2 linked regions of the Bombyx mori genome follow. Each later gene encodes a partner of the first gene's protein in a complex. Links are inferred from orthologs where the notes say so. Each region holds a gene or a part of one and is shown on either strand. Other genes may lie near its edges. The genes, in order: WASH complex subunit 4 and WASH complex subunit 3.

What was found.
Region 2: WASH complex subunit 4 (region 1) and WASH complex subunit 3 share a complex: the UniProt entries of both Homo sapiens proteins name them as parts of the WASH core complex. The link is inferred for Bombyx mori from reciprocal best matches to the Homo sapiens genes WASHC4 and WASHC3.

Annotation. Positions count from the first base shown.
Region 1 is NC_085118.1:10,740,489-10,744,424, forward strand, and holds the start of WASH complex subunit 4, read right to left. Parts: upstream 2,476-3,936; coding exon 2,198-2,475; intron 2,031-2,197; coding exon 1,864-2,030; intron 1,685-1,863; coding exon 1,194-1,684; intron 1,082-1,193; coding exon 1-1,081. UniProt on the Homo sapiens protein: Acts as a component of the WASH core complex that functions as a nucleation-promoting factor (NPF) at the surface of endosomes, where it recruits and activates the Arp2/3 complex to induce actin polymerization, playing a key role in the fission of tubules that serve as transport intermediates during endosome sorting.
Region 2 is NC_085118.1:943,054-946,989, reverse strand, and holds WASH complex subunit 3, read right to left. Parts: upstream 2,429-3,936; 5' UTR 2,280-2,428; exon of another isoform or gene 2,233-2,279; intron 2,146-2,232; 5' UTR 2,073-2,145; coding exon 2,016-2,072; intron 1,859-2,015; coding exon 1,694-1,858; intron 1,311-1,693; coding exon 1,038-1,310; 3' UTR 665-1,037; downstream 1-664. Other genes in the region: pre-mRNA-splicing factor SPF27, read left to right, coding at 3,589-3,663. UniProt on the Homo sapiens protein: Acts as a component of the WASH core complex that functions as a nucleation-promoting factor (NPF) at the surface of endosomes, where it recruits and activates the Arp2/3 complex to induce actin polymerization, playing a key role in the fission of tubules that serve as transport intermediates during endosome sorting.

The sequences.
Region 1 (3,936 bases):
CTAGAAGCAATTTTTTTACCATTTCAAAAGTAAATGGATTGATTACATCAAGTTGAAGATGTGAATGTATATGCAATCGTAAATTTGTTTCAATATTCTGACTTGCACCTTTGATAAATTTTTGTTCCATGTACTTTTTAACTGTTTCCATAAAATCTTCTTTTATATTACTATCAAATAATTTATCTGTTTTATGTAATAGCACCGTACAGTCTTCTAAGGCCATTAAGAAGTATTTTAATTTTAAAGTACTCAATTGCATAGAAAAGTTTTGATCAAAGTAAATTGGAAATATGTTCTGATGCCAGAACAGCCAAGAGCAATTGCAAAAACTTTCCATTGATTTCATCAAGTTTGTCAATGTTTGAACATTCTCTAACAACAAACCAAGCTTTACATAGCTGTCTTCTAAATAAGTACTTTCAGGTATAAAGCTCAGTGCTGTGTTAGCTACTACATTTCGTTCAATTGTAGCTACGCCACGAAGTGCTTTTTCTGCAATAACGATGCATGTAAGTTCATCCAATCTTTTATTTGCGAAATTCTTGTCTGAAACTAATAATTTCTTTACTTCTAATATTGTTGATGTTGCTTGGAATACAAAATGTTGAATGACCATATTGATAGATAAAATTATTTGGCTTCTATGCCGTGATATTGCATTCAGCATTGATTTTAAAATATTGATTATCTCAAATACCAACATTAACATACTCTTTGGAAGAGGTATCCCAAGGGAAAGATGTAAATTTATCAATGTCAAAACTTCATGATTGATTCTGGATGCTAGGTCCAAGCCATTTAAAAGAGTTCTGGAATGTAAATTCATTTCAGCAGCACTAAGCCTATGATGATCAGCAGAAAAGAAATCTTCAATATTTAACACCCATTGACCACATACTATTTGAAGATTAATTATATCACGAGATAGGCTAGTTTTTTTCATATTGATATACGATTGCCGTGTTTTCAACATAGTTTGTGATAATTTTTCCTGTTTTGCACAAAGTGCAGGGGCATGTTTCTGTAGAAATTGCTCAGGATACCACATAGTTGTTCCAATCACATGAACACTGTGTGCCTGAAAAATAAGACTGTTTGTATAAACTTTATTCATTTCAGCTGGCTCTCTGTCTGTGCCATGTGTAAATGTTACAAAAGTTACAATTGCTATAAATAAAATTAACACCAACCTTTGTGTTCAATTCCACTAATGACTTAAATATCTTCTTGTCTACATTACCAAACAATTGTGAAGACAATACAAATAAACTATTAATTTTAATACATTTGTACATATTTCGAACATTGGGTTGTTCCTGTACAAGTTTGTCCAAATTTATAATTCCCTGTTTAAGGTAGTGTGAAAACTCTGTTGCTATCATAGAACAATTCTTGTCAATCAAGTTCTTTCTCAATAGTGATACACTTTGTAATGATTTTTGTACAATATCATCATTCATTATTTTGACTGTGATGTTATTAATAGCCCCCATCATTGCATTAAATTTCTCTTCAGTAATATCTAAAGCTGCCGAGTTCTTGTTATGGTATGTTTTTAATGTTTTGCAAAATTTATTCCAATTTGTGGGCATTGAAGTATTGGCTATCAGTATTTCAAGTAAGACAAGAATAGTAAATATCTCTCCAATGTGGTTGATGATATAGTGTAGTTGAATGCAATCTACAATATCATGTTAGTATTAAGGTCATTAATGAATAATTTCATTTTAATAATTCGAAATTTACAACTAATGTCGGGGCTATCTACTTTCAGTGATAGCATAAATTTAATCAAATAAAAAAATAATATGCTAATTTAACCATGTAATATTGAACAAAAATAATTAATAGTAAACTCACTGAGATTAACAGTTCCATCGGAAAACAAAGCAAAAACTTGGTTGCACATGTTTCTTAAAGTTTCATCACATCGAATGATAAATGCGCAGAGTAAGCATATCATTTCCATCTGGGAACTCACATCTTCTGTTTCATATTTTTCATAAGCAGCCAAGTAGATAAAATACCTGAAACACAATTAAAATATTGCTACATTCACTTGCATAATTAAAAGTTTACACTTCTGCTTAGACGTAACTGTGGAATGTTTCTTCATAAAAATGAGAATTTTTATAAAGTTCAATCATAGCTATTATTACTGTGGATTTTCGGAAACTCGATAAATAAAACTCACTTTTCAAAGGCTTCCTCTTTCAAGTTATTTACTTCAACACATAAGGAAGTAAACACACTCAAAACTTTAGTCATAAATGTGTTATCCGATACTACTAACTCAGTAATTGGTACGAGCTCGTGTGGACTCATGAGTAATTGAATCGGCAAAAATGTTTTATTATCATCTAGTATTTCATTATTGCAATTGAATGCCAAAACCTGATACTGCATCTTGAAAAATATGCCATATTTTTTTAAAATATTGCTTGTACTTTCTTTCTCGAAATCACTTTTCATTTTTATGCACTTGTATTTCAGATTAAAATAATATTGAAAGAAATAATCACTATGTACTTTTTGTTGACTATTAATTACGATAATTCTGTTTAAAATGTTTTTTGTTGATGTTTATTCTTCTTCTTCTTTATTTTTGGCTCTGGCACGTTTTGTGCATTAGCCAGCGTCAAGTAATAATGTTTTTATAATTCGCCGTTTTATTTATTTACAGTTTATAAATAATAAAAAACGAAGGAAACTTATCGCAACAAAACATAAATGATTTAGAACGAATTGAATTTACAAAAAAAATCAGAATAATTATATAACAGGGAAAATAAATCAAAATTATAGTTTAATGTTATTATTTAAAATAAACCTACTTAAAATACTATATACAAGGGGATTAAAATCTCGAAGAAGTAAAGAAATATTAGTAGGAAGGGGAACAGAGACAGATACTAAAGAAGTATATAAGGAAGAATGATCATATAAAGAACAAGCAAAGAAAATATGATTCAGGTCACAATAACTCTCGCCACACTCACAGGCGGTACCAGTTACGATACCAAGTTTGTGCAAATGAACTGGAAGGCTGTTATGTCCCAGACGCATACGAATTATAGTAGAAGTGGCGGTTTTACCAAACGACAATTTGGCAAACCATGGCTTCCTGGGAACGGAAGACTGTATAGCATACAAGAAACGACCCTTAATCCGGCCGCTCTCTTCCCAACACATATTCCACGATTTGTGGAGGCATATGCCGGGCAAAGCAGCAAGATCATGGCCAAAATTCTTGTACGGGTATACGTCACCGGTCACAGTAGCACTGTTGGCCAAACTGTCAGCTTTCACATTTCCAGATATGCCACAGTGACTAGGTACCCAACAAAATGATACTAAATAGTTGTGTGATTGGCAGTGCAACAGCTTTCTCTTACATTCAAATATTACATGAAAAAAAGGGTTAAGTTTTAGTGAAAATTTTGCTAAGCTCTGTAATGCACTTAAGGAATCAGTAAATACAACGGTTTTTTTTAGTTTGAAAGACAGCACATATTCAAGAGCTTTTAATAGTCCAAAACATTCACCGGTAAAGACCGATGATTCCGGAGGTAATTTAATTTTCTGAACTATGTTGTACTGTTTGTGATACACTCCAACACCAACACACCCACTGGAGTGTTTAGATGCATCTGTATAAATTTGATGCCAGTTAGGCCATTTACTATTGACATTGCAATTAAAATTTTCATTGGCATTAAAATCAGATTTTTCAATGCCAAGAGAAAAGCAAATCACTGGAGAAAGTAAGAGAGAATCATAAGAAGCGCCAAATAAAGGAAGCACCTGAAAAGAATGAGTTGGGGCTTGTAATTGTTTGAATTTCAGGAAACTTTTTAACAGACAAGGTAAAGGTTTATGTGAAGAGGGTACTTTTTTAGAAAGAAACTCTAGTTTCGAAATGAGGGGATGATT
Region 2 (3,936 bases), about 9.8 Mb from region 1:
TGACAATTTGACAGGTGGTGTGCTGGTAAATTAGAAAATATGAGTTTGTTTTAGCATCTTATTGGATACTCGACAAAAAGTTCAGATTAATTTGGTTTTGCTCTAAGAACTTTATCAATATGTAATCAAGGTCACCACTTTGGACCAGATGCATCCTTAAAACCTCCCATTTATTGCACCTATACTTTATTACCATCCACATCGTATGGTAATACTATAACTATAACTTCTATGAGTAGGAATAAAAAAATCATGCTTAGCATTAATTAATATGTCTCATAAAAATATTAATGGTATGGCCAGCCTTATTTTTATTTATTATCAGGGTGCTGGCAGAGAACTATTTCTGCAATTACTTAGGATGGTACAACATTTGATGCCTATAGGTGCCTATTATTGTTACTAGAATATAATATAATAGTATCTCTGTAGCATGATTGTACACAATCTAACTGACATGGCCAATTTTACGTCAAATAAATCTCTCATAAATCAATACACCTACTACCCCTATAAGAATACTATTTATTTGCAAAAAAAGGAATAAATCGCATACAACATGTTTCACAAAATAAATTAATTAAAATAGTAAGCATATATCAACTTTCAGAAGTATTTAATGATTTTTTTCTAGGTCCACCTCTATGTGATCAATAATCTTGCATGATTATAAAATCCTTTATTAAAAACAACATTTTCAACATTTCATAAAAATATTAAGGAATGCTACTTAAATATTTGAGCCTATTACATTATTTAAAACGATAAGAACAAAAACATTACAATTTTAACAATTAGAATGATATTTTTATAGATAAAAGATAATATTTTCTAAACTATACGTTGATTACAATTAAACAAAAAAAAAATATTATTTTATTTTATTAATTTTACACTTATGATCCCATTAGATTAGAGGTATCACAGAATACACTGTTCTATTGTTTGTTCTATAAAAGTAAACTATGGTTTACACACTATGGTTATTTGATCATACTATGCTAACAACACAATAATGTAAATAATAAAATATTATTTTATTTTATTAATTGCTCCAGTATTTCAGGATCGAGACCTTCTAACGAGACTTTGAGTTTCACTGCCTGCAATGGCACTCCTACTTGAACCATTTTAACAAATTTATCATATTCAGGTTTAGTTTTCATTTCTGCTGGGGCTTGGTCTTCTAGTTTTCTTTCTAGATTTTCTTCTTGGAGTTCTGTTTCATTTTGACTTTCAGTAGATTCAGTCTCTGTAACATTACTTGTATTTGTCTGCTTAGGAATGTCTAATTCTGGTATTGAAGATAACTGAAATCAATAAGTTTTATCTATTTATGTATCGGTTTGATGTATGCTATCAATTAAAATGAAGTTTTTGAGGCACATGGGCAATTAAAGAAATGGCATAAACACAACCTGAATAAGGATTATGGTGAAATGCAATGATGCCATATCTTAAAATTAGTAGTAGTCTAATTTCTAATCTGGTAGGAGACCGTTTTTTTTTTAATTCAATTGAAGCTTTATGCATTGCAAATATATCAATAGGCTGCTCTTACTTTATCAGATCAATCAACAGCTTTCCAGAGAAGGTCTTGCAGAAATGGTTTATTATGACTAATGATAGAAAATAAAAACATTTTAGATATCCGTTTTTGTTTACATACAATAATTTATAAAAATATAATCACCTTAGATTCTAACAAAACCATGGCAGCATTAACTTTTTCTAATTTTCTCTCAAACTGCATCAGTTTCTGCTCGCAATTCGTCATAAAGTTATTCAGAAATTGTACATTTATTGTTAGGAAATGATTTACAAATGCCAATGTACGTTTTTGATGTAATGCCGCAACCTGCAATTTGTTTTTTAAATATTAAAAATAAATTATTCTCATTTATAAAAAAATATTGTGTTTTCTAGAATTAGGAAGTTTATAAAGATAATCAAGGCCGTGAAGTTTGTACTGCATTAAATTTTACAACAAATAATAATAATTCCAAATTTAAAACCTTAGTTAAATCCGTTTGTGGGGATTCGGATTGAGTTAAATCTTCTTGGATGGTCATTTTCAGTAGAATATAAACAAGACGAAAAAGAAATTTGTCTTGTGGTTTGGAAGCTTGAATTTGTTTTGTTCTACTGAAAAAACCAAATTGAATTACATTTCAATACATTGACTAATAGGTCCACGAGTTTTAATTACACTAAGTTTAATATAAAAAGCACCTAATTATTTTACAATAACAATCTTTTTCCTTCCGTGACAGTCGTACCTATTTATTTACGTTAAAAGAGTATGTAAGCAAATTAAAAGGAATATTTCAGTAGGTACAGTAGGTACGGTACCACCACCTAAGTCTGACATTATTATCATTAATTTACATTTATCAATATAACACTATTCTTTGACAATAGTGCTACTGTCCACTGTCAATATTTGTAGTAGTTCTATTTTTCCAACTGGAAAGGCAAAAGTATCATACGATACAGCCTAAGTTATCATTGTATTTTATGAAAAATGATAATATGAAGTAAAATGAAATAGAGTTGATTAATTTGAAACAATAATCAATTGGCGTGAAATCTAAGTAAAATGATGGTTATTTACTGAGACTTTAAGGAAACTGCCACCTCGCCCCGGGCAACAGTCTCATCAAAGAGGGTACACACACGCATGATTGCGTCGATGGTAGACCGGCCCTTTCTGAAGCCGTACTGTTCGGCTGACCGATTGGAACCCGTCCTGGGGATGGGGCAGATGACGCATCCACGACTTGCTCCAACAATTTTCTAGTTTCGTCCAGCAACACGATGTGGTGGTACACCACGGATGACTCCTAGAGGAGCTCCTCTTTCCTCAGAAGGATGAATCTGTCCGATTTCCGTCCGGGCTCAAGGCAGGCTTCGAAAAGCCGCACAAGCCAATCCTCCAAAGTACCGAAGGCCTGACCTGGCCACGACTCCGTAGGAGATCTAACAGCTAAGGGCAACTGCTTCGCGAATGTATCTGTAATAAAATGTCTAATTTTGTAGTAATGAAAGCTTTTTAATCACTGAATACATGTGAAATGGCACAAGTTTTAAAAAATCAAACAAACATTGGACGTGTTCACACAAATCATCCACTCCTAGACGTGCAGCGACCGTATTTATTAGATTCCTGCGACTTTCAGTAGGACGTCAGTTCACCTCGTCGAAAGTCTATCTAAGCTGCGTCGTGTGTGGCTGCCACTCGAGAATATTTTCAAAATAAGTTCGTTGATCTCTCAGTAAGCACCATTGTTTCATTATCAACTCATCTAATATCTACTCGATGTGTTCTTCTTTCATTAAATTCCATTTTATAATATAATATTAATTTAATATCAATTTATTGAATATCGAGGAATTCAAAAGATTTAGCTATATGGACTATATTTCTTTTGCCTGTTCATTTTAGGCTTAAAACTAGCTCAAACGAAGAATGTCACACAAGTGACACAACTAAAATCAAATAAACAAAGAACAGCGTTAAAACTTTAATATAAAGTGATAAATCACAGTACCCATTCGTAGTAAAGGGAGTTATAAATTTTGTAGAAAATGGCAGGAGAAGTTGTCGTAGATGCATTACCATATATAGACCAAGGATATGACGATCCTGGAGTAAGAGAAGCTGTAAGTATTATGATAACCTTACTTTTTTTAATTCTTGGACCATTTCCTTTACAACAAAGATTCATATCGCTTTAGCTTTGACATCTAGAGAAAGAAATTCAATAATCATTTTGGTATTGCTGGTCTGAACGACCACACTTCACAAATGTGGGTTATATTCTCGTCTGCTTCAAAATGCGCAGTCACCGCTGAGAGATTTATATAAAAATGTTTTTTTTTCGTTGTTTCTTGAACATGTATGCTATTTCGAAGGACTTCCTTTTTCGAAATGGA